4 linked regions of the Alligator mississippiensis genome follow. The protein of the gene in region 1 purifies or fractionates together with the protein of each later gene. This does not show direct contact. Links are inferred from orthologs where the notes say so. Each region holds a gene or a part of one and is shown on either strand. Other genes may lie near its edges. The genes, in order: BAG2, CEP170, tubulin alpha-1A chain and AMBRA1.

Region 1 (7,278 bases):
TATAGTTTTTAGACACAAATCTTGGGAGAGCTCTTCTTAAACCCACATCTCTTGGAATCATGAGATTAGATGAGGATCTTGGTTTTCAATTTTTAAACAGTTGCAGAGAAAAAGCTTGAAAATGTGACTTGTGTACCCTTAGCAGCTTGAAAACAAGGAGACAAAAAGAAACCCAAATATCCAAATGAAGTACTTAAAGAAAATTTTCTTGATACCACAGTGATATAGCACTCCTTATATATCTAAAAAATAGGGTAACAGGTTGCATTCTATCTTCCAATATATATATCATTTTGAATATCATGAAAACACTGTTCTCTGTATTTCTGATTTTAGTTGGCCTAAGAGTGATTAAAAGCAAATTCAGGATCCTCCTCTAGTGCTACACTCCTTACCAGAACACAGCTTAACCCAGTGCAACAGATGCAGGTTGCACTGTCGTTACCAGATGAGAAACTTGGTATTTGTTTCTTTGTGAGAGCTGTTAAGAACTCTCCCCATGCTACCACATTTAATCATTTAAATTACTTCTATTTAAAGCTTATGCAATATAATTTGAGGTACATTTTTTAATTGGTTAGCGGCTCTTTGTCAGTTCTGTCACTGTGTGCATTTTACTATGTGGTCTTTTTTTGAAACTAGGATAAACACAATGAAGCACTTTTTCAGTTGAATATCATGAACAATTTAGAAGCCATGTTTCTCTGCTCAGGTAATTGATTTACTTAATAAAATTACAGATAAACAAAAAAGCTCCTCTATAGTGTCAAGAAGACAGAAGATGGCATGGGGGGGGGGGGAGGAGGGTGATGGACAGGACAAAAAAAAGTACATCTGATTTTATATATGTAAAATATAATTTAGAACACTGCATTAATTTAAATACAGCCCAGAAATAGACACTTTCAACCTGTTCTCAATTGCAGTTGACATTTCTTGGAGAATACTGAAAGTTATGGTGATACTCAGGCTCAAAGAAACAACTAATATTCCAAGTTAATGGCCACCTGTACTCCTTTTCACCAATTTTCTCTGTGCAGCAATTCCCTAATGGCCAAGCCAGCACATCTAAACAACTGTTGCACTACAGCCCGGTTTCAAAGGGTGATCCTCTCTCTTTCCCTTCTATGTCCGTTTACTAGCTTCCATCTTTGGACCCTTCTACGTTTCCACTCCCAAGCACAATGCAACAAGTATTCAGTCTTAATATGGCACGCATTACTCTCTTTCCATCCTAGCCCCTCATCAAAGAAAAATTATTGGTGTTACTGTCTAAAAGAAGTACTTAATTCTTCAAGGCATTAACTATATAGTTCTATAAATCCACTGGCTGCATGTCTATGCACAGACCCAAGCAAGTCTGACAAGCTTACGAGAGCAAACCCTTGGGACGTAGTAGTCAAAGTTGTATCTGGGGAGCAGCAAAGGAGAAGCTGAGACTATATATACAGCACAGTATTTTTAGGGGTGGTGATAGCCAAGGAATGTAATCAACTGAAAGACCTTATTTATATATGAAAAGTTTTCATTTACTATAGTTACAAACCCACAATTTCAGTTACTGTAACTAAAACAATGTGTGAAAGGTGAGATTTCTCTTCTTTTAAGCTGCTTTACTACAGCTGGGTAATTTTTTTTTAACAGTCTGTGCACCAAAAAGTGCAGCTTTAGCTTAAAGGGGAAAAAAGTAAAAATAAATTAAAATGACATTCTGGTTTGATGGTTTTTTAATGACACATTTTAACTTTTCCTTTTGGAAAAAAAAAATTTTTTTTTTACATTGGAAGACCACCTAAAAGTGACTTCAAAATTTACCATTCGGAGTTTGAAAGAGGTCTAAAAAAACCCCAAATTTAGTGATTGTTAATTGTATTCAACCCAAAATATGGAGGACTTTTTTTTTTTTTTTCCAATCAGGTATCCAGATTGTTGCTGTCTTGACCAAGAAGCAAAAGGAATCAAAACTTGTGGCAAAGGTAATACATTTTATTAGATATTTGCAACAAAACTTCTTTATTTGCAAGCTTCTGGGCACAGGCACCCATCACCAGGCACGGAAGATCGTAAAGACTGTAAACATTCTCCTAGGTAGAAATGAAAATGTGTATGTCATTTTGGGGGGGTTGAGGGTTGTTTTGTTTTTCGGGGGGGGGGGGGGGGTTCTCCACAGACAAAATGGAAATAAGATGTTTTGCAAGTGCAGGTGGAAGACCCCAGGGTGGGTGAAGTTTGGCAGTGACAAGAAGTAATGCCAGACAGGGAAGAGGCAATTTTTTAAACATTTTTCATGTTCCAAGCCAAATAGAGTCCAAATCCAAGAGTCAGTCCAGAACTGTAAACGGCCCTAAACCGGCAAACATCCTCCACCCCCACCAGGGGCTTCAGATACTTCCAAAGTCTTTTGGGGGGCATCCTATGTGCAGGCCCAAGCCTGGAGGCTTGGGGATGGGCGGGGAAGAGGTGCCCACTGCTGCAAAGTAGGAGCGCGAGAAGGGGAGAGTGCCATGATGAGACCTGCTTTCCTTTTACAAAGCTAGTCTGCCCACAATTAAGGGCTGTTAGTAATGTGAATTAAGCTGAAGAGTGAGAATTAGGACCAAAGCGTATATTTACTCTTTAAAATGTACAATAATATCTCATGCATAAAGCCGAGCCCTGAATAAAGAGCTGCGGACTAAGTGCGAGAGCTAGAGCTGGAGCCGAGCCGAGCCGAGCCGAGCCGGGCGGCAGGAGCCCTCCCCGCCCCGCCCCGCCCCGCCCGCACCTGAGCTCCAGCTGGTCGAGGCGCTCGAGCAGGCGGCCGGAGCGATCCGCCATAGATGTGGAGCGGTAGAAGCGGCCGCGGGGCTCGGCCGCCTTGGCGCTAATCTTTGCCTGGGCCATGGCGTTGCCTCACCCGGAGCCGCCACCGCTCGGAGCCCGGCGATGCGCCACCCCCGAGCTCCGCCCGCGGCCAGGGGGGCGGGCATGGGCAGCGCAGCCCAGTCCCAGGGGCCGCTGCTATGTAGCGGCCCGCCACGTGGGCGGTGCCGCCCGGCGGCTGAAGGAGAAGCCGCGCTGGTGCCTGGGGGCGCGGGTGGGTTCCGCCAGGACAGCCCGTCCTGAAGCCACGTCGCCGCAGCCCGGCCCCTGCGCCAGAGCCTGACGGCCCGCAACCCTAGCCTGCCGCACTGCAGCGTCTCCTCCGCTCTCCGCAGACGGAAACCCGGAGAGAAACAAGCACAATCCCGGGTCCGCCGACGTGTGAGCTCTGCCTAGAGCTGCCATAAGCAGACGAGGTTTTTTGGATAGCTCTATTAATACTTCGTATTAGATCAGCTAAATAGTTGCAAAAATAGTTCTTTGCAAGCTTTCGGGCACAAAGATCCTCCCTCCTTCAGGCATACCGAGACCCTGCTCTGCCTGGGGAAGGGTGTTTATCCGGGAAAGCTTGTAAAGAATTTTTCCAATGATTTAGTTGGTCTAATAAAAGAAATCACATCTGCCCCAAAATCCTCCTCCGCTTGTGTCCTTAGGCTACAACCACACTGGTAAGAGCTGCCCTAAGGCCTTCACTCCTATCCCAGTACCTGTGGCTGGCCTTGGACCAGGGCTGCACCAGCCGCCCACTGGTACAGGAAGTCTTCCTTTCCCACCTCCATTTTAAATGATCGTTTTACTGAAGTCCGGCTTGAGTCCTGAAGGCAAGTAAATCCCAGCTAAAAATGTGAGCTACAGCTGCAGTTTCAACCAGCTTAAGGAGATGCAATAAAAGAAAAAAAGATGTAAAAAAAAAAAAAAAAAAGAGCAAAATGTGTGCCAACATGTTTAAAATTAGCATGGAAAGAAGTTCAAACCATGCTACAGGAACAAACAGACTCAGACATTTTATTTACATAAAGCGACTTCCCAATTCTAATCATAAAGGCTGCTTCATGTTGCCAGCTAATAGTAACATTACGAAAGAGGCCTGGTAACACTACCATGCTTAGAGAAGCTGTTGTGTGGTCAGGGGCGATCCAGGAATAGCTGTACCTCCAGCTGGAAATGCTGTCATTTTGCTTGATCTTCTGGGTTCCCCTATGCTATGGTGCAAGTAATTCATACAATTTATCTACTTCACAGAGGATGGATTAACACTTGGTTACTGGGTCCTTCTACACCAGTGGTCATCAACCAGTCATCAATCACGCTGGACTGGTCAATCTGCCAGTTGATCTGAGGTTGGGGGTGCTGAGAGAGTGCATGCACATGCCACCCACCACATCTATGAACAGGGTGGAGGTGGCTGCCGCTGCACACTGGGCTTTGCTCCCTGCTGCAGCTGCGCTGTGCTCCCTGCCAGCCCAGTGGCAGGACACACATGGTGTTGTGTGGTGCTTGGGGCAGGGCTCAAAGCACAGCATACAGCGGCTGTCGCTTCCACCCTCACTGCACACAGATGTCCCACCACCCAGCCTGACTGGGGCCCCACTCACTCCACCCCTGCTCCTACCTGTGCCCTGCTCTCTCCTTCACTGCTGGAGCCTTGATTTGCCCCCCTCCCCCCATAGCCCTTTCTACTCCCCCTGTCCCTTCTCCCACAGACTTACCTGCTCAGGGGGGCACCCTGAGAACCCAAATAATTTTTTCTCCCTCCGCCTTGATTTACCCTTTCCCTTCCCCTTCACCACACAGACTGACCTGCAACAGGGGGGGAGGGGGGGGGAGGAGGCACAGTAGATCTTGGATTGTTTTTTAATTCAAGTGATCTTTTACTTAAAGAGGGTGGAGATCAGTGTTCAACGCATTCATTAATGCACTGTTGGTTCAGTGGTTCTAAACCTTTTTGTACTGGGACTCATTTGTAAGCATCAGTGGCCAGTCCTGACCTGGTGCCTCCAGGCCCCAGCCCCCCAGTGTCAGGGGGTGTTTGGCCTTGGGAGCTCTAGGTAGCCCCTTGCAGGCAGGAGATCCACCAGCCTGCAAGGGAAAAGCACCGTTTCCCACATTTTTCTCCTTTAAAGGAGAATCAATTTTTAAAGTTTGTTTGTGCCCTTTTCATATATTCTTGCAACCCACTTTTGGGTCATGACCCACAGGTTGAGAAACACTGCTTTAGGTAATACACATTAAGTCTATTTTGATGTGCATTAGCTAAAGAGCACTTTTTGTGAGATTTAATGTGCATTAGGAGAGGCTAATTTGCATTAAAGCCCACATGTAGACACACCCACTGGTGTAAAACACCACACAGCCCTACCTTGCCTCCACTTATAGGATAATTATAACAGAAATAAGGAGGAGTCAGGGAGCGCCTACTAGTATCTAAGAAGAGTGTGCTATTTGTAAGACACAATAATTGACTTAAGAAGCAACCATACACAGGTAAGTCTCCTCTGACCTCACTATTACACATGGTTCTAATAAGTCACATACAGGGCCCAGTTGCCATTCCTTTGTATCCATTTTAGATCAGAGACGACAGGAGTTTGAAAACCCCAATTTCTTTGGAAGGATACTACTTTGTCCACCCCACTGGTGGCCAACCTATGGCATTAGCAGTCATTATGTTTGGCGCACATGCCCTGGGCACTGAGTTGGAGCGGTACTCTGGAAAGGGAAAGGGATTGGAGTGGCAATCTGGGACCAATGCTGGCTCAAGGGTTTGGGCTCACCTGATTCAGTGTTGCCACATCCTGGTGACAAATGATGGCACTGGATGACAGCAGTGGCTGATAATCACAGTAGCACTACTTTGGACCTAACTTCCAGCACACTTCCCAAGAAGGCTGGACACACTTTACCAATCAACTTTTGCCTTTCAGTCAGGGAAACTGATGTTGCCCATGCTTAATGCATGCTCACAGTAGTATGAATCAAAGTGTTCTCTCAGGCTTGTCCATTAAAAATGACATCATTTCCCAAATGCTTTTGATTTAAAACCAAACCACTCAGCCAGCCTTGGCCTAGTTTACTATAATGCCCTTCTTCTCTGAGTGGCTGCCCTGTTAGATTGTGCAACAAATTTCCTTGTAGCACTTGCTCTATTTTGTTTAGTCATGAAGAACAGGTACCTTGTATCCCCAGAAATGGGATAGCAGACACATTCAGTCTGGATCTGCCACTGTGTATTCTTTTTGAGATGCATTTATTCCATCCAGGCTATAATTTATTCTAAATGGATAGTGTATAAAGAGTAAAGAATTAAACAATGTAAAAAATGTATCCTGTAAAATGCTTTATTACCATATTTACCTGAACACAAGACAACCCTTGATATAAAATGGGGTTGTCCCCCCCAATAATTAGATTCTACACACAGAAAATGTATACATTTATTATAATTATCCAGGTGTGGAATTGAATTATTGGAGGACCATCTTAAATTCATCTCCCCCCACTACTGCAGGTGGTGTGGGGAAAGGTGGTAAAGGGGTAGTAATGGGGCAGGCAGTGGAAGAGGAAGGCAGCTTGCTCCCTGCCACCTCTCTCCCCACCTATGCTTACCTCCTATTATGCTTTCCCCCACCCACCCCAGCCTCAGGCTGCCCCCAATCCCTCCTTCTCCCTCCATGTCACTTCTGGCTGCTGGTTGAGCTGGGGGCACAGCAGCAGTGCCTGCTAGGTAGGCTGAGCTCCTGATCCTAGCTGGCAGCACCTGCTGTGCAGCCTTACTTTCCTTTTTCCTACAGCAGAGGCTTATGCAGCAGAAGCTGCTATTACTATTTTTCCTCACTTAAAACATGCACCTCAAGTTCCAGCAGCTGTATATAAGAAAAATGTGGTAATTTATTCTGTAATAATTCTATTTCTTTGTCCAGTTCAGTGGTTCTTAAGCTTTATCAACTAAAGACTCTGCTCCATAACTTTTGTGAGTTGAGTGGTATCCCATTTAAAAAAAACAAACACATTTATTACTGTGTTTACCTCCTTGCACAAAGGTCAGATAGTGTCAGGAGAAAAGGGGGGGGGGGGGGGGGGGGGGGGAAGAAGAGCAGCCATGCAGGGACCAGCATGTAGTTCTCTCCTTGCAGAGGGCCCAAATAGTTAAGATATTGCGCTTTTCCATCCAAAGAGTTATTGTAGAAAAACAGTGTTACAACTCTCTGTCCCCACACCTGAAATTATTATTGTTGCTATTTCTAAGAAGGAGAGAGAATAGCAGGGAAACTTTCCTTCTATGAAAGAAAATGTTGCGACTTCATGGTTCTATAAACTTAACCATGTTTGGTAAAGATTACTATGGCCTGCGTGACGCACAGTATTTACCATAAAGATTAATCATGGGTTTCCCTTAAGACTCCGAAATTATTTGAC
Region 2 (7,606 bases), about 110 Mb from region 1:
TCCTCATTGCCCTGGGACAAATTCCTCTTAGGTTCTATGAAGCCTCATCATAATTGATGGATGAATTTCATATAAAATACAACTGTATCTCAAACAATAGGGTAAGACTGAGAAAAGTAAAACTTTAAAAAGATATTGCGGGGGGGTGACATTTTTAATAAAAGGGAATAGTAAATATTATCATAGGCTAATCTAATCTGAGTCACAACACTGAATAAGCAATACATTAACTGCTTCACACACTTTTTCATGATAAAACTAAACTTGTTTTTAAGACAGTGGATCTATAATTAACCTAAGGATCAAGCACTTGCAAAAGACCACCAACACACTCACAGAACTCTGAAAAGCAACAGCACTGGCACTCCTAAACTGACAAAAGAATACAGTTGAAGGTGACCTCCATTAAACTTGTCACATTATCTAAAAATGTTCCTACTAAAAAGTAACCTATAGTCCAGTATCACATAGTGATCCCCATGAATATAGATAGCTTTAATACTAAAAAGTTAAGCACCCAAACAACATGATTTTGTGTAACAAGTACAAAAGGGTGGTGTCTGGGAGGATACTGATCTAAAGTTACACAAATCTGAAAGGACAAGAAATACTGCTAGATTTGCATTGTTTGTAATGAAACCTAATGGGACTCATCCTCAACAACATGCACATCATGAGGCAGGAATGCAGAAGAGAGAGAAAACAAGAATCATCCTAGGCAAAGAAGCATTGTGTAATGAAAACAGTTCCTGATACAATCATGTTTGTAAATGACAAGCAATGCTTCCATTTCAGAAGAATCACTTGTAAAAATGAGCGAGTAGATACCTGTGCTTATACCAGTATGTATGTGGCAGACTACACTTGGATTGCAAGCATCCTGACGCCCATCTTGCTGTAGTCATCTGATTGCAGCAGTCTTTCTGCCTAAGTGCAGGGGGGCTGGACCTGATGATCTGTAAGGTCCCTTCCAGCCCCTAACAACTATAAAACTATGAAAGAATCCAAGTAGAAACAGAGGAAGGCACATCTGAACCTTGATATTGTTCAGAGTTGCAACCAGTAGTACTGGTCAGGAATAAATTAACTTAAAGCATAATAGCACTTACGTTGTCTGGAAAACACAGGATATTTCTATATTTGAATGAAAAACATGCATGACTCAGTTTGTACACTCACTTTTCTGTTGTTAATCATTATATGTGAAAAGATTCATTTCTTTCCTGAAACACAGGATAAAGGCAGGCAGTGAGTGAGTGCGAGTCCCAGCCACATCTGGGCTGATATGAATGAACCATCAAGAACTATCAACAAGTGAATGAAGGATACCACCAAACAGCAGCAACTTTTGGTGAAGTTCCCGTCAGAACACTTGAGAACAAGCATAACTATGGCATAAACCAAATAACTCAAGAAGTGAACAGCGGTGAGTCTGAATTATGAATACTCAAGGCAAGAGGAAGGTCATGCTGACAATATGCACGTTTCCTGTAAGCTTTGCTTTTTCATACCAATTTATACAAGCAGCTTACATAAAATATACTGGTGGGATATGAAATGCTGTCTTGTTTGCATGAACACTGAACACGCTTTTCAAAACATCTGCTGGTTGTTTAGCTCCCCAGAGATCTGCCAGATATCTCCATTAAAATCGACTAACTGTAAGAAAAAGGGTTCTCAAGCCAGGGACCCAATGTCAGGCAGGGTAGCAAGGGGACAGGGTTCACCCTTGTTTAAAAAAATGCAGAATACTGAGACTGGCAGAGTCACACACACTATGGTATCAGAAGACAAAACAAAGTAAATGAAGAAGGTAAAGGACATATGCTTGACAAATGTGTTAACTGCAGGGTTGGGAAAGGATAGGCTTCTCTCAAAATGTAGAGGTTAAATCATTTGTTTATACCTTCTCTAGAAACTTACCAGGGGAGACCAGCGGGGAATGGTGCCCTGTTCCCCCGAGCACCCCCTGGAGTAACAAGGAATAATGGCCATAAGTTGTTTGAGAGTAGGTTCAGGCTGGACATTAGAAGACGCTATTTCACAGTCAGGGCAGCTAGGATCTGGAACCAACTTTCAAGGGAAGTGGTGATTGCTCCTACCTTGGGGGTCTTTAAGAGGAGGCTTGACAATTACCTAGTTGGGGTCATATGAGCCCAGGATTCTCTCCTGTCCAGAGCAAGGGGTCAGACTTGATGATCTACTTAGGTCCCTTCCGACCCTACATCTATGAATCTATGAAGTAGTAGAAAATAAAGTGGTGTAGTTAGTTAATTTAAATGTAAAGGATTTTCAGGGTGAAGTACAGGACAAGATTCTAAAAAAGAAAGTAAAAATAATCCCACTTTATACCAAGAAACATTTTAAGGGCATACTGGATTTTAGTGACAATTCTTAATATGAGGCGGGCAATTATTTTGGCTGGAGGGGCACTTAATGAGTTTTGGTGAGCTGTCGAGGGCCTCAAGAGTGGCCCTAACCCATCACAAACACCCCATCCCCTGGTCAACATCTTGGGACTGGAAGTCCTACCCCAACCTCTGAACTTTGCCACCGTAAGTCCCTCCCCTTGCTCCTGGAAGTACTCCTTTTGGGAAGGGGGCTTGGAACCGAAAAAAAAAAATCAAAACGAATTATACACTAAAAATCAAACATCCGTAATAATATATTTTAATTTTATTAAAAAAAAATTGTCTTGATTTGTGTGCGTTTGTGCCGTATACATAGAAGTAATTGTATAATAGCTCAAAATGAAGTCTTACTCTTGTATATTGTGGGGGGGGATTGTGGGGGGGGTGGAGCGGTGTGGCAGGGTATGGGTAGGTAGGCATGGGGTTTGTGGGGAGCTGTGGGGGTGTGTGTATTTAGGTGTTGGGTGGGTATGGGGGGCCTGTGGGAATGTATGGATGTGTGGGTGGGTATAGAGTTTGTGGGGGGCTGTGGGGACTGTGCGTGTAGCAGTGAGTGGAACTTCCCCCAGAGGCAGGTGGGTGTGTGGTGGGTACCATATCTGTGGGGTGTGCGATTGTGTGGGGGAGGGTGTGGTTGTAGGATTCGCAGGGGAGGGTTTGAAGGTATGTAGGGTGTGTATGGGAGCCCCCTCTCTGAAAATGCACATTTCCTGTGCATCAACCTCACGTTTAAGTGATGCTTTAATATGCAGTAAAATAGCCTACCACGCACGCATTAGAGCGCATGTGTAGACATGCCCTGCATAAGCAAGGATTTGGGCCACCAGCATTTCAAGTTATTCCCAGGCTTAATACAGAACACAGTCCTCTACAAAGCCCTCTCAAAAACTACTAAAGGTTGGATCTCTGCTCTGATTCCACTTTTCGTCAACTTTTACAAGCCTAAAACAGGACTTCTTGGGAAAAGTCACGCGTCCCTCATACTGATTCTAGATTTATTGGTCAGAGCTGTGAATATTCCCCCCTCCCCCATGGTCCTATCTGACATTGCTGTTTCAGCCAAAGCCGCAGTGCAGGTGTTGTTACATTGGGGATGAAGAGTCTTATGCTGGCACAGATGACTATTTAGAGGGCAGAAAATAACTTTTCAAATCAGAGCCCTTGTAAGCACAGGGATACTGAACTACCTTCAAAAGGTAGGCAAGATCTCATGCACGTGGCGCAGAGCTGTGATTCATAACCTTTTCTGAACTCATTTGTAAACATCAATGGCCAGTCCTGACCCAGTGTCCCCGCTGCCCCCCTCCCCCTAGTGTGTGGGGCAAGGGGGGGTATATGGGGTGAGGGGCCTGGGGGGCCCCAAGCCGCCCCATGGGGTGGCGTGGGTGGGGGGGGGCTGGGGCCCACCTGAGAAGCGCTCCAAACCCCGCAACTTCCCGTCGAACTAGAACTATCACTACCACCACCACCTCCCCGCTGCTCCGCTCACCTCGGAGGCGGCTGTGGTAGCGCTCCAGAGACTCTTCCAGCTCGGGCTCTCCCCGGGGCTCCCGCATGAGGCCGAGGTCCGGCTCCCGCCGCCGCCCCCTGCAACCACTGCCGTCTCCAAGGCGAGGGGCAGCCCTGCTCTCCTGCCCTTCCCGGCCCGCGCGGGCGCTCGGCAGCTGTAGTCCGGCCGCCTTCCGGGCCCCGGGGCGCCCCGCAGCCAGGCCCTCCCAGCAGAACTACAACTCCCGGCAGGCCGCCCAAGAGCCGCTTGGCCGCCCGTTGCTAACCGACCAGCACGAGGCCCCGCCCCTCACCTCTCCCTGACGCGCGAAGAGAGTCCCCCTGAGACTACGCTTCCCAGCATCCACCGCGAGCCGCCCCTCCCGCTACAAAGAGAGACTCTTCAGCGCCGCTTCCCCTTTGTTGGATGCGCGACCCGATCTGCGCGTGCTCACTCCCCTCCCCCTTCTCCTCAGGGTCTAGATTTGACGCATGCTCAGTCGTGACCTAGAGAAGCGGCGGGCAGATTCCCCCTGCTCCTCCGCTGCCTGCCTGTGGCGCATGCACAACGCACGCGCCCCTCAGCCCGTCATTGCCTGGGAGCGTGCGCCTGCGCACTGAGGCTTCCTCGGGGCGCGCTCGGCGGGGGCCGCGCTTGCGTACTGAGCTCCTCCCCTCCCGAGCCTCCGCATTGTGTGCGCGCGATCGGGTGGCGCTTGCGCAGTGGTGCGCCGTGCTCCGTGCCGTTACCCGCTATGTGCGGGGAATAACGGTGCGGCGGTTACTGGCGTCAGAGCGCGGCGAACAGCTTCAGTGCCGGTCCGGCGGGTGGTGGGGCAGTAAGTGGCGGCGGCGGCGGCGGCTGCACTCGGGCGCCCCTTCCCCACGCGGCGGTTCTCCCACGGGGGGTGAGTGCGGTGCCCCGCCCAGCCCCGTAACCGTTAACGGGAGGGGGAGGGGGACAACGAGGCCGGGGGGGCATTGTGGACGGGCGGCGTCCTCTCACCGGCAGCTGGTTCATTTTCTACTCCTCATCCCCCCCCTTCCACCTTATTCGGCAGCTCCGTCCTCTTTGAATGAATGGAGCTGCGCCCCCTTCCCCCACCTTGTCCATTTGGAAGGGGAGGGCAGAGACCCCCCCCCCTCCACCCCTTCTCCCAGGGGGCTTCCCCCACCCTGGGTCGCGGCCGGGCTGGAGGGAAGGGGCGGGGAGGTGCTGGGAGTGGCCGCGAAGGGGTAACGAGCGGTGCAAAAGAATAATAATTTTAAAAATATCAAAAATGCCGTGATGGCGGTTTTCCAACCCGAAGCAAGAGGAAGCAGAGTCTGGGCTGAGAGGCAGATGACAGGTCTGAGGATGAGCTGTGGTCTGTGATCTCATCCACACGCAGCCCCAGGCTGGTGGCTCTGCAGGGGGGCAGGGAAGAGGAGGGATTCTGGTCGCAGTTGTGTCCCTGGTTCCAAAATTGCATCCCATTTGGTATCCGGGGTGTTTGTTAGGCAGCCACCGTTCTTTGGGTAGATGTGATATCTTTTATTGGATTGGAAAAAATTGCTCTTTGGCCGCACCCCCCCTGCTTTGTCAGTCTGTTTTCTTGGCATGGGGAGGGGCTGCTAAGACCACCCCTCCCTCCTGAGAGGAAATTCATCGTGTTTCTTATTTTTCACCGGATTTCAGTGTGTGTTATGTTAAGATGGTACATGTTGCTGCTTGAAATGAAAACAAGCTCTTCTTTAGTTGGGGACTGTTCTGGTGTGAGCAGGGGGTTGGACCTTCTGCGGTCCCTTCCCACCTGAATTTTCTGTGATCCTCTGAAAATGCTGAATGCAGGAAGAACGTCCCACAGTTCCAGTCTCACGTGGAGGGAAGCTGGCTTTCGACAAAAGAGAGCTCGTGGCAGTGAGCTAGTTGTCAGCTTTCGAGATGTCATTTTGCGTGCATATTCTGGACATGCGAGTCAACAGCAATGCCACCTTTTCCTTACAGATTTAAGGTGTATTTACTGTGTAGTTGAGTAGAGGATGCAGAATGGCTGAACTCTCTTATGACCCTTAGTGGAAGGAGTGTTGATGGAGAGGATCCAGTGTCATGTAAACACCTTCTGTGAAGGCAGAGGTATTCATAAAATATTTAACTGAGTTGAGAGAATAAAACCTGGTCTTGTATGCTGTTTGATGCAGGTGGGCACCTGTATTTCCATGGAGATCCACTCAGAGCAATAGGACTATGTGAATGGATTTACCCCTCTTAAATGGCATGCAGGATCAGGACCCAAAGTCCAAGAGAAACCTGTAAGGGAAAACACGTGCTTACATATACTGTGGTTTCCATGTTAGCTTCCCAGAGTGTTCGGTTTTGCCTAAATGCTGAATAATATATCTGGCCAAAAAAGGCACTGTAAATGTGAAATCTGTTTGATCTTTAAAAAAAAAAAAAAAAAAGGTGTATACTTGTGATTTTTCCCAATCAATATTTGAGGGTTTGTTTGTTTTTAAAGGAAACAATTACTGTACGTATGTTTTTCTTTCAGCTTTTGCTCTGTTTAAGGCTTACACAAACAAGGGAAAGTCACTGGTGGGAAAACACTGAAGTTGGGGAAGTGTAAGATTTTGTTTTTAGGGCATGAAATAAGCAATCTACAAAAGGGAGTTTTTTCCCCTCATCTTTCAGTAGCCTAGAAGTTGCTTGTAATAATATCAGTTACTTTAAGTGCAGATAGACCTTTATAAATTGTTTGCATCCTTTAAATGTGAAGCTAGACTCTGAAAATTGTCTTTTTAAAAACTTTATTGTGGAATTCCATCTTTGTCTGATTTTGATTTCAAATTTGCTGAATTTATAGCTGTTAAAAAGACTGCTTATGCATAGCAGTTTAGGACAGTTCATAATTTTGTTGATAAAAGAATCGCACGTTAAAAGAGTGAACTGGAAACATTTGAATTCTTTACATACAGGTGACAAATATCGAAACTTCCCTTAGCACCTGAATAAAGCCAAGTCCACCTGTAGCTACAGAATCCAATCTTGTATTCAAATGTTTGCCTATGTGCATGCAAATCTAACTTGCTTAATATAAACTGATGCTGAGCTGTTTTCCTCAGTTTGGAAATAGTGCATTCTAGTGTCACAGCTGTTCCTCTTAGCTTTGGCAAAAAACATGAAATTAAAGTGGATCTGATTAGTTTCTGGTTGTTGTTCAGAACCATTTAAGAAACTGTGAAACTAATCAGATTCATATCCATCTCTGGTGTTTGTGAAATCTTTTAACGGGTAAAAGAGAGGCACTGAAGCTGTTCCTGAAGCAGAACACCAGGGTGTAGAAATTCTCATCTCTGCTTCAGCAGCTAAGGTTGGTAAGATGGAAAGAGTAGCAGAGAATTCCCTCTTGCAGAAGCTCTTGAAGGTAGTAGTGCAGATCTTCATACACTAGAATAAGTAGGAGATTATTAGAAGTATGGAGAAGTAAGGGTTTCATGTCCTTTCTTGGGAAATGAAGTTTCTAATTTGTTAATTGGAAGTCAGTGATACCAAAGAAGTTGTACGCAATTACTGTACCAAGTAATTAGTTAAGAATACTGCTTGTTAGGAATTTCACTGTACTCCCTTTTCCTAGTAGCAAGGGGTTTGTTGTGGTGGTAGAGGTTGCCCCTGGATCTTGCAGTCAGATATTCTTTGCCTTTTTTAGCATGAGCTTTTGGCTAGTAAG
Region 3 (7,939 bases), on another chromosome or scaffold:
GCGGGGGTAGGGCACCAGGTTGGTCTGGAACTCCGTCAGATCTACGTTCAGGGCCCCGTCGAAGCGCAGCGAGGCGGTGATGGACGACACGATCTGGCCAATCAGCCTGTTCAGGTTGGTGTAGGTGGGGCGCTCGATGTCCAGGTTGCGGCGGCAGATGTCGTAGATGGCCTCGTTGTCCACCATGAAGGCACAGTCCGAGTGCTCCAGCGTGGTGTGGGTGGTCAGGATGGAGTTGTAGGGCTCCACCACAGCTGTGGAGACCTGCGGGGCCGGGTAGATGGAGAACTCCAGCTTGGACTTCTTGCCGTAGTCCACAGACAGGCGCTCCATCAGCAGGGAGGTGAAGCCGGAGCCGGTGCCTCCCCCGAAGCTGTGGAAGACCAGGAAGCCCTGGAGCCCGGTGCACTGGTCAGCCTGTCGGAGAGGAGAGACAAAGGAAACAATAGCTCCATTATCCAGCTGTCCTGTTGGAAGAAGTTGGTTTCCAAGGAGCAGGAAGGCAGGAATGCGAGTTCTCTTCTTTCCTTGCCTAAAAAATTCTTCCTCTTACTCTGCAGTGTTCCCAGCTCAACCCACCCACCTGGGACACTGCTCTACGCTGCCGGAGTTTATTTGCCATAGAATAAGAAATGTGGCCACGCATTAGCTGCCAGGGCTGATAAGGTCATTTTAAATAAGTACAGAGAATGCTATAATTGTAGGCAAACACGGTTGTCAGAGGTGCATGTTGAATGACATTTGGAGCGCTGCTAGGCCCTCCTTTCCCATTTGAAAGACTTGGTGCTTCAGCAGCCAAAGTGCGAGAAGGTCACCTTAGGGAACTGGTGGACATCCCTGGGACAGGAATGTGATGGGTCTAACCCAGCTTGTAACAGCAGCTGCCTCTTCTGCACAGACAGAGGCAGTTTCAGTGCACTCAGTACAGCAAGTTGCTTCTCTGACCTATTCAGGATTTAAACAAAAGAACTAGCTTTCCTGCTTATACAGCTCCTAATCTATGAATTAATGTGGTCTAGGGAGTAGAGTTACTAATTATAAATGCCTTCCATTGTAACTGGATTCAAACTCCACATAACACTTCCTTTGTTAAATAAATAGTATTTTAAAAATATATTCTTGAAAAAAAGGCAGCTTCTTCTCATGGATCCAGACTACGGAAGGCAGTTTTCTTAGCCAATACCATTTCAAAATGCCTTCCCTGTCATTTTTAAATTGAATATCACTTTCCATCTAAATGTAGCTTGGCCCAAATCAGAAATAATAATAATAATAATAATAATAATAATAATAGGAAAAGGCAAATGATCCTCAGCTTGTTTGCTAAATTTTATTATGAATATTAAAGAAAGAAATCTACATAAGTGCATGTTGGGCTATAGACTTTATAGCTAGTGCGTGTGTTTGGTTAACAGCCTTGGACCAGCCAGTGGGAAAGGAGCCTGCTGGGAAGAGAACCAAGAAAGAAACATAAAGTAAGAGAGACTGGAGATTAAATATATACATATACGTGCACGCACACATGCGCCCCGTCATCCATAAGACTCCCTTGTCCTTGCCCCTGCCTAACCCCCCTGCAAGAGAACTGATGCATACCAGCTTGCGGATGCGGTCCAGCACCAGGTCGATGATTTCCTTGCCGATGGTGTAGTGCCCACGGGCATAGTTGTTGGCGGCATCCTCCTTGCCTGTGATCAGCTGCTCAGGGTGGAAGAGCTGGCGGTAGGTGCCAGTGCGCACTTCATCTGGGGAGAGGGGAGGCAGGAGCCCATGAGCAGAGTGCCGCATGTCCCTGCCCAGGCACGGGCCTCATGCAGGGGCTCACCTGAGCACAGGAAGATGGGGAAGCCTGTGTATGTCTGGGGTGGGGGCTGCACACTCACCTATGACGGTGGGCTCCAGGTCCACAAAGACAGCCCTGGGCACATGCTTGCCAGCTCCGGTCTCGCTGAAGAAGGTGTTGAAGGAGTCGTCACCCCCACCAATCGTCTTGTCACTGGGCATCTGCCCATCGGGCTGGATGCCATGCTCCAGGCAGTACAGCTCCCAGCAGGCATTGCCAATCTGGACGCCGGCCTGGCCCACGTGGATGGAGATGCACTCGCGCTGCGGAGAAAAGCCGGAGAAGAGAAGCCATTAGCCTGGCAGCGGCATGCACTGGGTCCACGCTGCGGTTGGAGCTTTCTGCTTCACACCCGCCTCTGCCCTTGCAGCGCCCCAACGTGGGAGCCATCATGGTCCCCGTCGCATGTGGGCGTGGCACAGACCAAGCTAGCGGCAGCCTTTGCAGGGCATGCAGCCAGCGCAGCCATTGCTGGGGAGCGTCTTGCAAGGAGCCAGTCCCCCAGCACTGCCAACAGGGTGGGGGGCCCCACCGGGGAGGTGCCAGGGGACTGTCACCCGCGGGTGCGGCCACACCCAGCTCTCCCCCAGGACCCATGGCGGGGTGTCACCCTGCAGCTCAGCATCGCCCGCCCCATTGTTCTTCCGGGTCCCAGCGGGAGCAGCTGGGAGCCCCCCGCTCAGCCCCTCCGAGAACCAGCTGGGTTCTCCCGGCTCTCCCCACGCGCTGCCCCTCGCCCCCTCCCCGACGCCACCCCCGTGCGGGCCCAGGCAGCCCTCGCCCGGCCCCGCCCGCGGCTGCGCTGGCTCCGGCCGCTTCCAGCATGATCTCATCGGCGGCCTCGCCAGCTCCCTCCCGCCGCGCATCAATGGAACAAAGGACCAGCCCGGCGCCGCTCCCGGCCCCGCCTCGGGGCTTTGTGGACCCGCGCCCCCCTGCCCCGCATCTGGGGCTGCGGCCGCCCCGTCCAGGCAAGGGCGCGGCTCCCCCGCACGGACCGGAGCGCCCGGGGCACGGGACGGGGGCGGCAGCTGGGACCGGTCCGGCGCAGCGCGGAGCCGGGGGGACCTGCCGGCCCTTACCATGCTGCTGCTGGCGAAGAGGCCGGGAGAGGAGGCGGCTTCTTACAGCGCGACTCTTATGGGGTCGATGTAAGAGAACTCGTGGCGCGGCCCCCGCCCCGCGCCTATATACATCCCCGTCGCCATGGGGACGGGCGGGGGCTTCTGCGGTTGGTCCAGCCGCCGCGGGCCGCCCGGGGAGGGCGGCGCTGATTGGTGCGCGGCGGATGGGATGAGGTCATCCCCCCCCCCCAGCATCCCGGAGCCGGGGGCATCCTCAGACAAAGGCAGCGGGCGGGGCCGTGCCCCGCATCCGCACCCCGCCCGCACGTCGGGGGCTGCCCTCGGACAGCTCTGTGAGCCCCCCCGGCCCGGGCTGGAAACCCACCTGCTCCAGAGCCGGGGGGCAGGGCTCCTTTGTGCGGGAGAAGGGGTGGGGGGGCTTGGTACCCGCTGTGCAGCGGCTGTGCCCCCCCCTTGCCCCTGCCTGCGGGATCCGGGGCACCACCACGCCCTGCACCGCAGCTGCCGACAGGGGCTGGGGGGAGCAGGGAGCAGCTGGGCTGAGCCAGGGGAAGGGCCCTTTATCCTGGGCACGGCTCCCAGACCCCATTTCCTGCCTGGGCTGAGCCAGGGGATGGTCCCCTTTGTCCTGGGCGCAGCCCCCAGACCAGATTTTCTGTCCTGAGCAGCCCCCAGACCCCGTTTCCTGCCTGGGCTGAGCCAGGGGATGGTCCCCTTTGTCCTGGGCGTGGCCCCCAGACCAGATTTTCTGTCCTGAGCAGCCTCCAGACCCCATTTTCTGCCTGGGCTGAGCCAAGGGATGGTCCCCTTTGTCCTGGGCATGGCCCCCAGACCCCATTTTCTGCCTGGGCTGAGCCAGGGGATGGTTCCCTTTGTCCTGGGTGCAGCCCCCAGGCCCCATTTTCTGCCTGGGCAGAGCCAGGAGAAGAGCCCCATTGTCCTGGGCGTGGCCCCCAGACCCCATTCCCTGCCCTGGCTGCTCCCAGCACTGGCACTTTGCCTTCCACTCCGGGCCCCTCCCTGCTAGTCCCGAGCTCCCTTCGGTTCCCACCCCCCAGGTTATTCCTGGGCTCTGGCACCCCAGAGGTGTCTGTCCCCAGTGCTCTCCAGCTGCAAGCACACAAAGCCTGGGCTCCTTTGTCCCAGAACTGAGGGCTGAGGAAGACCTGGACTCAGCCCTAACCCCATCTCCCATCCACTGTGAAGCTGCTGAGATACCGGGATCCGGGCACCAAGGAATGAGGCCCCGGACAGCTCCTTCAAGGCTTCAGCTGGGTCAGACATCCTGTGCCATGGAGCTGTGCTGAGGACACGGCTGGGACAAGGGAGCCAGAGGCAGGAATTGGCCCGAGCCCTGTGACCAGGTGGGGCTTTTGGCTCTGTCTAGCCCCGCTGGAGTATGTGGAGGCAGCCCCTAGCCTGTACCCAGCCCCTGCCTCCCTGCCTGGGCACAGGGGCAGAGAGAAGGACTTGGAGCAGTGCTGCCCCGGCCTGAGCATGGGGCCCCTGGATGCTCCATGCCCTCTTAAGAGGGGGCAGGGACAGGTCGGGAGCTCAGCTCTGCAGGCACCAGCCCCCTCCTCCAGCTGCCTGCATGGGGCAGGAAACGGCTCCAGCTTTGTTTTCACCCTCGTACGCTCTGCTTTGGATACTCGCATCCTGATCGTTGGTCCCATCTGCTCCCAGGGTCACATCCTGCTGGGGGCAGCGGATGCCTGCCAAGGTCCCAGCCTGGGCATTGCCATCAGCAATTGGACAAGGGGTGTTTGGAAGAGGGGGAAGGCACAGAGCTGAGAAGTGCTGGAAGCAGGAGTCAAGGCCGGGCCTGGCTGGGGCCCCGAGCCAGGGTCCACACTGACCCCCCTACCCTCCGCAGCTGCCTGTCCCCAGCCCCTCCTGTCACCCTTGGGCGAAGCCCCTGGGGGATGGTGGCTGTGGCTGGCCCTGGTTTCCCCCACGGGAAGGGGCCTGGGCAGCTGGACTCCTGCTCTGGGAGGAAGGAAAAAGCAGAGGTCAGAGCAGGGGACTCGGACACCTGCATCCAAACCCTGCCCTGCCCTTGCACCATGATGTGGCAGGAGTGAGGTCACCACTGCATGCCTCAGTTTCCCCCTGCAGAGACCATACCCCTTGTTCATCATCGGGGGGGGCATGAGGCTGAATATAGAGCCTGCATCATAGGTCCAAGCCCCAAGGGGCGGGTGCGGGATGGAGCCAGAGGCTCTGGAGATCCATGGAGGGTCTCTGTGGCTCTAGGCTCACAGCCTCATTAGGTATGCGAGGCAGAGTCCTTCCCCCCCAACCGCTGCTAGGCAACGAGCTGGTTGCTAAGAGCTGGAACAGGAGGCCCTGGTGGCATTCGCTCTTCCTTTATCACCTTGCCCATCACGTGGCCTGCGGAAAGCCGCTGCCTGCTGCGCCAGGGAGGGAGGGGGTAGGGGACGGTGGGGCAGAGAGGGGACCCTGGAAGGTGACGGGGTCCCTTCCTGGTTCCCTGGGGCAAGAGGAGTGGGGCAGGCCGACAGGGCGAGACACTCAGGGCTGCAAAGCTGTGCTAATCCACCACTGCCCCGCGCCCAGGCATGCATGTCAGCCCTGCGTCGTCCTGCCAGGGTCCTGCTGCCCACGCCTGAGCATGGGTGTCAGCCCTGTGTCCGTGGTCCCCCTGCCCACAGGAGCTGCCAGTGACGGCCTCAAGCTTCAGGCCCAGGGTAGAGCAGCTCCAGGGGCTGGGCAGGGCCACTCTCAGCTAGGAAGGGACTGAGGCCCTGGCGGGGGTGCTCAGCACAGCCCCATCCTGCAGGCTGCTGCCCGGGACACTCACTACACCAGAGCTGCTCCCCACCACTCGGTCCCTGGCTGTGGGGTGGCCTCTCCTGCACCAGCCTCTGTTGATTGTTGGTAGCAACGAGGCAGCTCTAGGAGACTGTTGCTGGGCCTCCCCGGCTGTGTTTGCCGGTAGCCAGGCCTCGCACAGCGATCCCGGGCAGGGGAGGAGGCATCCGGCGGTTGAGAGCCAGCCCCTTCCAACGGCCATGAGGCAGCCAAACAAGCAGCATTGGGAGGGTGGGGGCGGAGCTGGGCCCCGGGGACCCCCAGGAGCTGAGTGCAGGGTGCCCTGTGCGCCCCTGTCTTGGTCCCCTGCGGGTGCAGGTCTGACCCCCCACTTTGCCCCTAACCACAGGAATGCCCAAGGACAGATGGAGAAAGGGGGTCCTGGCTTTGCCTGCTGCAGCCTGAGGACCCAGGAATCTGGGCTTGGACAAGCCCAGCCCAGCAAGCAACTTCCCTGGCTAGGCACAGATGGGCGATCCCCTTTGCAGCAATCCTTTGTGCCTTTCCAAGCCCTGGGGGGAGGAATTTCTCCCCCAGCGCATACAGGCTCTGGACCCTGGCACCAGATGGGCGTCCCAGCTGCCGACCGGCCGGAAGGACACATGGCTTCCCTCTCCGGCGTGGGGGCGGGGAGGCAGCCTGGGCCATCAGCTGCCTGTCTGGGGGCTGCAGCAGCACAAAACGCCATGCAGGAGAGGGGATTGTCTCTCAGTCCTGGGGGTCTGCATCTCATCTGTCCCAGGTGGGGCACCCCCTGCCCTCCCTCCTGCCATCCAGAGGACCCCTGTGCTGTGGGCCCTCCTTGTCCTGTCTCCTCCCAGCTCAAAGGGCTGCAGCAGCAGGGTGCTGAGTGCATCAGGGAAGCCTGCAGCCTGGACAGGGGCCGGCAAGGGGCTTGGCCTGGATGTGCCTCAGTAATTGCCCTTCTCTGCTTCCCCTCCCATAGAAGGAGCATGAGAGCCGGCCAGCCTGGGAGCAGCTGGAGCTGTTACGGTGCCAGGACTGCCTTGGCGGGGAGGAGATGGCAGGACAGAGAGGAGGGGAGCGTGGGAGCGTCCCTGGGATGCAGCTGGGATGACCCTGGGGAGGGAAGGACTCTGGCCTCACTACACCAGCACCACGCCCCACCGCTGCAAACACGCGTGGAGCGGCTCAGCAAGCTGCGGCACGGCTGGGAAGGCGGCCCGGCGTGTTCAAAGCACGCGCAAGCACATGGACGGCAGATGAGCAGGGTGGGGCTGGCAGGACAGCAGTGGGTGCAGGGCATTCTGGATACGTGCATCCTGTCCGCGTTCAGCCTCCACCAAGGCTCAGCTGAGGATGACCCCTGGGTCCCCCCAGGAGGCAGGAGAGAAACAGGGTGGGGCCCTGGCACAGACAGCCCCGTCCTGGTGCGCCAATGCGAGGGGGGGGCCTGCTGATGGGGGGTGACCGAGGGCCCCTCCAGGCTGGTTCCCATGCCGGGAGCTGGAGGGGGCAGGGAGATGGGCTCCGCCTGCCAGCGCAGCACTCTCCGCTCTTTGTCTCTCCTCCTCCTGCCTCTCCCCCTTCCCCGGCTGCGGCAGGCGCGGACGCCCATGGCACGGAGGGAGGAGCCTGGTGGCTCAGCTGGCCCTGGTTCTTCAGCTGGCCCTTCCCTGGCCATCCCCTGCCCTTCTCCCCAAGACAGCTGGAGCCTGTGGTCTGAGCTGAGCCTGGCTGCCTGCCTTGGTGGGGGGGTTTCCAGCTGCAGGCTAGGGACCGGGTGGGGAGGTGGGAAGAGCCTGCTCCCTCCTGGGCTTCAGTGACCCCCTTCCTGGGTGGAAAAGAGCTGGGCATAGCGGGGCTCACTGGGAAGGCCTCCTTTCTGGCTGCCATAGGGCTGAGGGAGCAGGAAACCCATTCCCTGTGGCTCTGGGGCATCTCACCCCGGTCACACAGCGCAGGCTGGCACAGGGACACGGGGCCTCAGGGCCAGGGTGGTGTCCAGGCACACGCTCATGCTAGCACTAATCCAGAGCAGCCACTCCAGGGTAAGGCCCTGCATGGACACAGCAGGGAGATGCTGAGGGCCAAAGTTAGTTCTGGGGCAAGTCCCTGAGTGACCAGCTCCCCTAGGGTAGAGCTGGGCCCTGGCTCTGTCTGGAGGGTGCAGCCCAGGATGGGCAGCAGTTGCAGGGAGGCCAAGGGGAGCAGG
Region 4 (7,619 bases), on another chromosome or scaffold:
TTTTTACTTTTATGAATGCTTATTTAAACTTTTGACTAATTTCTTAATTTTTTATGTCATTTCCCTTCCTAAAGTTGTATATGAGTATGGTGGACATTTTTGTCTTACTCCCTCCCACGCAAGTGCTGAATGGGATTATGTTATGGTCACTATTACAGAGTGGCTCACCAACAGATACCCCTTGAACCAGGTCCTGTGTTATTCAGGATTAGGCCTAGAACTGCTTCTCTTCTTGTGGGTTCCAAGATGAGTTGTTCTACAAAGCAGTTGTTTATCGCATCCAGAAAGTTTATTTCCAAGTCTCACCCAGATGAGGTGTTTACCCAATCTGTGAGAGGATAGTTGAAGTCTTCCATTATCATCGCTTGTCCCACTTTAGCATCTTCTTTAGTTTCCCTGAGCATTTCATAATCATCTTCACCTTCCTGTGCAGGTGGTCAAAGTACAATCCTAGCACTATATTATTTTTATTCAAGTATGGAATTACTACCCACAGGGATTCTATGGCAGTTTTCTTTTCAGGTATTTTTTTTTTATGTTGCTACTATTTATACTATCCTTAACATACTGTGCCACTCTTCCACCAGCATCCTACTCTGTCATTCCTATATAGTATGTAATATGTTAGAACAGCACCCCATTGATTATTGTCCTTCCACCAAGTCTCTGAGATTCCTTTTATGATGAAGTCACCATTTAATACCAGGCATTCTAGTTCACCCATCTTGTATTTTTTAGGTTTCTGACGTTTGTGTAGAGGCACTTATAAATTTTGTTTTTGCTCAGCTGCCTATTACTGCTCACACTATTTGTTTGGCACACTGACTTATCCTGACTATTATCTAGAGTTATACTTCTTACTCTCCTACTATCCTCTTCAAGCTGTGAAAGAATTTGCGTGGTGTCCCCCTTTGGGGTTCTTTCAGCCCTGACCTGTGTGTTCTTCCGCACCTGTTGGCTTTTCTCCACTTTTCAGTTTAAAAACTGCCCTACAGCCTTTTTAATCTTTAGTGCTAGCAACCTGGTTCCATTCTGGTTCAGGTAGAGCCTGTTTTTTTCTGTATGGATTCCTCCATCCCAAAAGGTTCCCCCATTCCTGATAAAACCTAAACCATTCCTTCCTGCACCATCATCTCATCCAAGCATTGAGACTCTAGAGCTCTGTCTGTCTCTCTGATCCTGCACATGCAATGGGAAACATTTCATAGAATGCTACTGTGGAGGTCCTGAACTTTAACCTTCTGGCTAACATCCTAATTTTAGCTTCTAGGACTTCTCTCCCATTCTTCCTTACGTTTTTGGTATCCACATCGACCATGACCACCAGCTCCTTTCCAGTGCCCACTAGTAGCCTTTCTATACATCTTGTGAGGTCTGCTACCTTTTGCAATGGGCAAGCAAGTCACCATGTGGTCCCCCCTAGATGTCACAATCCCAGCTATTTATGCACTAATAATGATCAACCCCCCCGCCCTTGCACTACAACCACCTACTGTCCTTTGTGGTCCCCTCCCATGGAAGAGTATCCTCAGTACAAGAGGACACTCTGACATCAGCTGGAAGGTGGGCCCCATCTAAAGGATAGTTTCCCTCCTTCTCAGCTTGATGCTCTCATCCATTCCTGCCTGAGGCGCTCATCCTCCTCAGCAACATGGGCTTTGCTACGGAGGTGGGTCTACTCTACAATGTCATTGAAAGCCTCATCTATGAACTGATCTGCCTTAGCTGCTCCAATTCTGCTACCCTAGCCTCAAGAAAACATACTTGTTCTCTCAGAGTAAGGAGCTGCTTGCTACCTGGGGAAGGTAATCATATATGCTGCACCCAGTACAAAAAACAGGATAGTTCTCTGTTGGCTGCTGGATTTTTACCTTAATTTTTTAAAGCGTTGAAAAATTAGTTTGCTTTTTTTAGTGAGGCTTTTATTTATGGATTCCCTTAGATTAGAAACATTGAATTTATGATTTGACCTGTTGTTTAACCTTACTCTATCCTAATTGCAGCTAAATATTACAAAAGGACTTTAGTACTGGGATTTAAAGCGAGACCTAAATGCTACCCTAAATGCTAAAAGCTAATTCAAAATAAGAACTTCCAAGGCTCCTTTTCAAAGAGGATGCTGCATGGGTATTGTTACAAGTAGGTCTCTGATGAAGCCAGACTCTTGGAGGATGAGGAAGTAGTGGGAATGCTCCATCACGCTTCATTTGTACCTCATCATGAGAAGAACTGTCTTGACTGAATCTTCCTGCTGTTTTTTTCTGTCAGGATCCAAATCTTTAAAGGCCTTCAAGTGCTTCCAGGAAAATTTTGATTACCAAACAGTTGTGCTAGCAGACTCATTTATTTTCTATACTTCTCAATGTTCAGATTGCACACTTTACCTGCATGTTCCAAAACATTCTTACCATTGTGTAATGTGCTGGAACTCTTTTAATATCCTTAATGCATGATTAACCAATTGAAATTAGAACAGGATGATTTAAAGAACAGAAGAATAGGGGTGGTTCATTTTCATATCTGATAAATTGGATGCTTGGTTGGTTAAATGATCAGTAGCTTCTGAGGTCACAATGGTCTTGTGACATTCCAGGTAGTTGTTATGCCAACCGCTATAGAGATTCTGTAGTTGGCGGTGGAGGCGAAGTCCGCAGAAGGTGACTGAACTCTTAAGAAACCAACATCTTGTTCATGTAGCAACATCTTTAGTAATAATGAGCCAAAGAGAGAAGTCCCAAGATCAGAATAATGTTCTGGAAGGACATTAGAGGGAAAATTCCCAGGAGGTACAAACAGTCATGCCTTTTTATAAGGAGGATGACTGGATAGCTTGCTCCAGGCAGTTGAAAGCAACTGGAAGTTATGAGGAGGTTGGGTGGGTCAGGTGTATGGGGAGAGGAATGCTCATTGAGAACTTTGAGGGACCTGAATTACTGTGGAGAGGTATTAACTTTATGCGAGTTGGTTACTGACATAAGTGGGATTATTCACTTGTATGAAGTCAAGCGCATTGCAGGATTGACCTCTTGGTGTGAGGATGGTGGGTGGAAGGAAAGTAGTAAAAACAACAAGCAGCATTTAGTAGCAAAGCAGAAGGCTTAGCACTTCACATCTTTAGCCAGTGCTGGGCAGGCATATTTGGTTCACAAAGAATCATGGGCATGAGCCCACACAGAAGCAATTAGCCCCCTCTGGTTCTAGAGGGGCCTTTTAAGAGCACCAACAGGGTTCTTGAAAAAGCTAAAGCAATAACAGGGAGAGGATCAGAGGGGAAGCACTTATGCTGGCCAGTGCCCACTGGCCCTTGAACAAGTCCAAGAAGCTGGTAGACACTGCCCAGTGAAATTGTGTCTGAAGACATGACCAGATGAGGGACAGGCCAATTTGTTATGTTGTAGGGATAGTGGGCGTAGGCTACAAAGTAAAATGATGTCTCCCTTGAAAAGGGAGGCCCATGGGAAACATAACAACTAATTCCTTGGGACCACTAGAGCAGTAACAGAGAAAGGTGTGGGTCAGAGGTTAATAACAAGTGCTTCAAGGTGAGTGACACCAAGCAGAGCACATGGGCTAGCACCCACTGGCCCTCAGATGTGACCATGGAGCCGGTGGACAGTGCCCAGTGAAACTCTGCCTGGAGATGGGGCAGGGAGACAGCTCCACAGTGTCCAGGTGTCAGCGGGTGGGTCAGAGGGACGGGTGGCTTAGCGAGGGCCAGGAGGAGGTTGACCGGGTGGTCCCAGCACTTGGTGGGGCCATGTGGGGGAGCCATGTAGCTAACACCCAGCAGCAGCAGGCTCCCGAGGAGGCGGTGGTGGGCAGTAGCCTGGCACCTAGTGCTGCACAGGAGCAGCTCAGGGGCATCAGGGCAGAGGGAGGAGGCTCCTCTAAGGATGAGGCAGCAGCTCCTCAGAAGCTGGACCAGTCTGGTGGCCTCCTTTGTGCAGCCAAAGGCATTGCTGGGGGAAACCTGAGACAAGGTGCCCGGGAGTGACAGGCACCAGGGGCCTGGAAAAGGGCGGCTCATGCCTCAAAGCGTGTCTGACACCTCCAGCATTGCCAGGTCTTAAATATAAAATTGTGGTATTGCAAGCCCAAAATTCTCATTATTTGCTGAAAAACCAGCGTATACTGAAAAATATGCAAATAAGCCTTTTTTTTCTTTACTTTCTATTGCTCACTGTAATCGCCAGTCAGTGAGAACTGGATCATCATCGTCACAGCTGAACCTGTTGAGGTGAGCAGTCATGAGAAGATGCTGACAGCAAACCCCAAAGTGAGTTCAGACTCCCTGAGACTTATTTGGGTTTTGCATATACTGCATCAATCAGCTGCCTCCAAAAAGATCGGACACGCTGAACGCTTTTACTGATGGTAATGCCTGTCCACCCGGCCACACGGGGCCCCTCTCCCGCCGCCCCGCAGCGGCCCGCGGAAGATGCCCGAGCCACGACCCAGGCTAGCCCCGCCCCCGCCAGGCTCCTGGCTCTCCCCATCCTATTCTCCGAGCTCGATTGCTCTAGCCCGTCCCCTGCGCACGCCCGGGCTGTTCCGGTCTGTACCAGCGGGGTGGAGCCCTCGCCGCTCGGCTGGTTGCGCCTGGCACGGCTCTGCATTCGAGCGCTCGGGCCTCGGCGCCGCTCCGTCCCGCCGCCCGTGGCTCGGCTGCTCGGGCCTGGCTCGCGGGCTCGGCGAGCGGCTGTGCGGCCTGCGAGCGCTTTCGGGGCGGCGGCGGCAGTGGCAGCAGCGGAGGTGGCCGCGCTGCTTCCCCAGACCAGGCCCGGCCCGCACCAGGTAGGCGCTGGGGGCCAGCTCCGTGCCCTGCTGCCCCCGCAGCCACCGGGAGAGGGGCCAGCGGGGCTCGGCTCCTCCCCGAGACCCGTGGGCCTGGGGCCTTCTGCTGGAGCTCCCCCGGGACTGGGGCTCGCCTAGGAGCGCCGGAGCGGAGCAGGCCCGGACCCTGGCCCGGCCGGGGAGGGGAGGGGAGCAGGAGCGCGCCTCTCCAGAAGAGCCCGGAGAGATGACGCAAGGGGGAAGAAGGAAGTGGGAGTAAACCGTTTAATTCTGGGGTGTAGGTTTGAAAGGATCCTGCTCTCTGAGGAAGAGACTTCATGCTTCTGCCGGGAGGCCTGTCACCTGTTGTTGGGATGATTTGTGCCCAAGAATCTTATGAAATCATGGCCGGGGGAATCACTCGAGGCCTCTATATTATTATTTTTTTCTCTAACTTACTTCCTAGGTTTTGTAGCAGGCTAAGGTTTCCCAAATGGTCAGTTTTCCCTCCAGCTGTATGTCCCAGTGACTGGAAGAGGGGAGACAGAAATCAGAGAAACACAGTCCTGCACAAACGTTGTAGAACTGGCAGGTGGGCTTGAGAGCCAGTGTAGGACCTGAAAATATCCTAGACTTCAAATGAATGTTTTTTACATTTTGTTCTATCCATCCCTTTTTTTTTCTCCCTCTGTAGTGCTTTTAAGATGCCCACAATATGGCAAAAGGCAACTTACATCTTGACCTAAGTGTCACTGTCTCTATCTTCCTTTCATCCTTTGTTCCACATTCAGTTGATTGCAGAGTATTGAAAATGTGTATTGCAGAACATTGCTTTTTTACAAATGATGCTGTGATTGATACTGTAATACTTGGTCACCTTAACATTTTGGTTGCATACAGTTTAAAAAAAAATTTTAAAACACTTTTTTTTTCAATTCCTTTTTTCTAAATCAGTCTTCTAGATCAGTGTTTCTCAACCTGTGGGTTGCAACCCAGAAGTGGGTCGCAAGAATATATGAAAGGGTTGGGACCAAACTTGGAAAACGGATGAACAAGCTTTAAAAATGGATTCTTCTTTAAAGGAGAAAAAAGTAGAAAACCATGGCTTTTCCCTTGCAGGCTGGCAGAGATTCAGCTTGCCAGGGGCTGCTTGGAACCCCCACAATGCCCCACGCACCCACCTCCTGCCCCATGCACTGAGGGCCTGGGGGTGGGGTGCACAGGGTCAAGACTGGGGTACTGGGTTGGCACTGGCCATTGATGTTTACAAATGGGTCCTTGTACAAAAAAGGTTGAAAACCAATGATCTAGATGCTTGTGCTTTTTGAATTTTTTTAAAAATTTGTCTTGATTGTGGCTGCGGTGTGTTAGTCACTTCCTAAACATGAGAGCTGCAGGCCTTGTCTTAAAAAATAGCTAAAAGACTAGCAAAGAAGAGGTATCATGACAGAAGTGAAATAGTTAGTGACAACAGCAATATTTTTTTTTTCTTTATACTGCTTCTTTGTGATAAGAAAGAAAGTGTCTTTGAATGTTTGTGCCTTAGCTGTAATCAGGAGCCTTACAGGTGTCATGACAGTAGATCAGGGGCGGGCAATTATTTTGGGCAGAGGGCCACTTACTGAGTTTTGGCAAGCCATTGAGGGCCACATGACCGGCAGCCAGGGGCAGATAAATATTAATTTTCTAAATGTTTTAGGGGTCCCATGAGCTGGACAGAATGGTCTGGCTGGCCGCATCCATCCCGCGGGCCGCATTTTGCCCACCCCTGCAGTAGTTGCTCTTCAGGAGGGATTCCAGTTAGAGCAGGTCCTGCCCTTGTAGATGTAGTTCTCTGTCCCCCCTCCATGAAGAAGGGCACTCAAATTTTTATATAAGAATCTGATATGTATTGCTGCATTCATTGCTACTTGTAGCTCCTCCCAGTTTGGCATCTTCTGCAGATTTCACTGTTCTTCCTATCCTTCTTCCAAGTTGTTGCTGAAGCTGTTAAAACTTGACAGGGATCCTGTGGTATCACTAGGTACTGTTAGTTCACTACATTGCTGTTTTTAAATTTAGTTTCCCACCCTAGGTGTTTCTTTATGTAATAAGGTCACATCTAAGCACATTTGAATCAGTTTTGAATAAGAGAAGGGCAAGGCTTGAAAGACTGTGTTAAATTTCAAATGTAGCATTGACTGTTCATCCACTAGCATGTCAGAAATAGTAATAAACCTTTTTTTAAGATCTGTCAGTGATAAACCCTCTTGCTTATAGTAGTTCTGTTATCCACTATCAGTGCCATTAGCAGGTGGCAGGGAATGGTGGCACCTTAGCAACTAAATGGTTTAGAAAGGCATGAACTTTCATAGGCAACAAACTACTTCATGAGGTGCTATATGCCATATAGCATATAGCATCTGACCCTGTGGTATCATGAGAGTATAGGTGCCTGTTGTTTGCTGTGTATCTAGAAATAACTGCCAGTTGGCTTTTAGCTAATAAGTCAAGCAAAATTGTGTTGTCAAGTTGGTGCTTGCCTTCTGTATAGCAGAATTGTGGATTATTGAACTGGATCTGTCAGAATTTTTCAGTCACCTATGTATTTATGGATTTGAATATTTTATCTTGTTGCTTCTTTTCCTTTGTAGGATTCTTTAAACCTTTCCCATCTTTCAACCCCTCTGGAACCTCATACTGCTAATGTTATAGTTAGAGAATTTACTGGATTTGGGGCACTTTAACAAATATGTTCTGCTACTACTTTTTCATTGAGGCTATTTTATTGTAGGTCTGGTGAAAGTTTTGCTGGGTAATAGATATGGGATTCATACTTGGGATTCTTAGTTGTGTATTAGCTTGCC

Evidence for each region.
Region 2: the proteins of BAG2 (region 1) and CEP170 purify together in Homo sapiens (affinity purification with mass spectrometry; 3 studies listed by BioGRID and IntAct, with this or other methods). This does not show direct contact. The link is inferred for Alligator mississippiensis from reciprocal best matches to the Homo sapiens genes BAG2 and CEP170.
Region 3: the proteins of BAG2 (region 1) and tubulin alpha-1A chain purify together in Homo sapiens (affinity purification with mass spectrometry; 4 studies listed by BioGRID and IntAct, with this or other methods). This does not show direct contact. The link is inferred for Alligator mississippiensis from reciprocal best matches to the Homo sapiens genes BAG2 and TUBA1A.
Region 4: the proteins of BAG2 (region 1) and AMBRA1 purify together in Homo sapiens (affinity purification with mass spectrometry; 3 studies listed by BioGRID, with this or other methods). This does not show direct contact. The link is inferred for Alligator mississippiensis from reciprocal best matches to the Homo sapiens genes BAG2 and AMBRA1.

Annotation. Positions count from the first base shown.
Region 1 is NC_081824.1:51,387,017-51,394,294, reverse strand, and holds the start of BAG2 (BAG family molecular chaperone regulator 2), read right to left. Parts: upstream 3,004-7,278; 5' UTR 2,884-3,003; coding exon 2,765-2,883; intron 1-2,764. UniProt on the Homo sapiens protein: Co-chaperone for HSP70 and HSC70 chaperone proteins. Acts as a nucleotide-exchange factor (NEF) promoting the release of ADP from the HSP70 and HSC70 proteins thereby triggering client/substrate protein release.
Region 2 is NC_081824.1:159,685,416-159,693,021, reverse strand, and holds the start of CEP170 (centrosomal protein of 170 kDa), read left to right. Parts: upstream 1-4,601; 5' UTR 4,602-4,738; exon of another isoform or gene 4,739-4,807; intron 4,808-6,029; exon of another isoform or gene 6,030-6,191; intron 6,192-7,606. Other genes in the region: SDCCAG8 (serologically defined colon cancer antigen 8), read right to left, coding at 3,901-3,967.
Region 3 is NC_081838.1:6,695,820-6,703,758, forward strand, and holds the start of tubulin alpha-1A chain, read right to left. Parts: upstream 3,016-7,939; 5' UTR 2,929-3,015; coding exon 2,926-2,928; intron 2,107-2,925; coding exon 1,884-2,106; intron 1,746-1,883; coding exon 1,597-1,745; intron 418-1,596; coding exon 1-417. UniProt on the Homo sapiens protein: Tubulin is the major constituent of microtubules, a cylinder consisting of laterally associated linear protofilaments composed of alpha- and beta-tubulin heterodimers.
Region 4 is NC_081825.1:227,344,178-227,351,796, reverse strand, and holds the start of AMBRA1 (activating molecule in BECN1-regulated autophagy protein 1), read left to right. Parts: upstream 1-4,605; 5' UTR 4,606-4,794; intron 4,795-7,619. UniProt on the Homo sapiens protein: Substrate-recognition component of a DCX (DDB1-CUL4-X-box) E3 ubiquitin-protein ligase complex involved in cell cycle control and autophagy.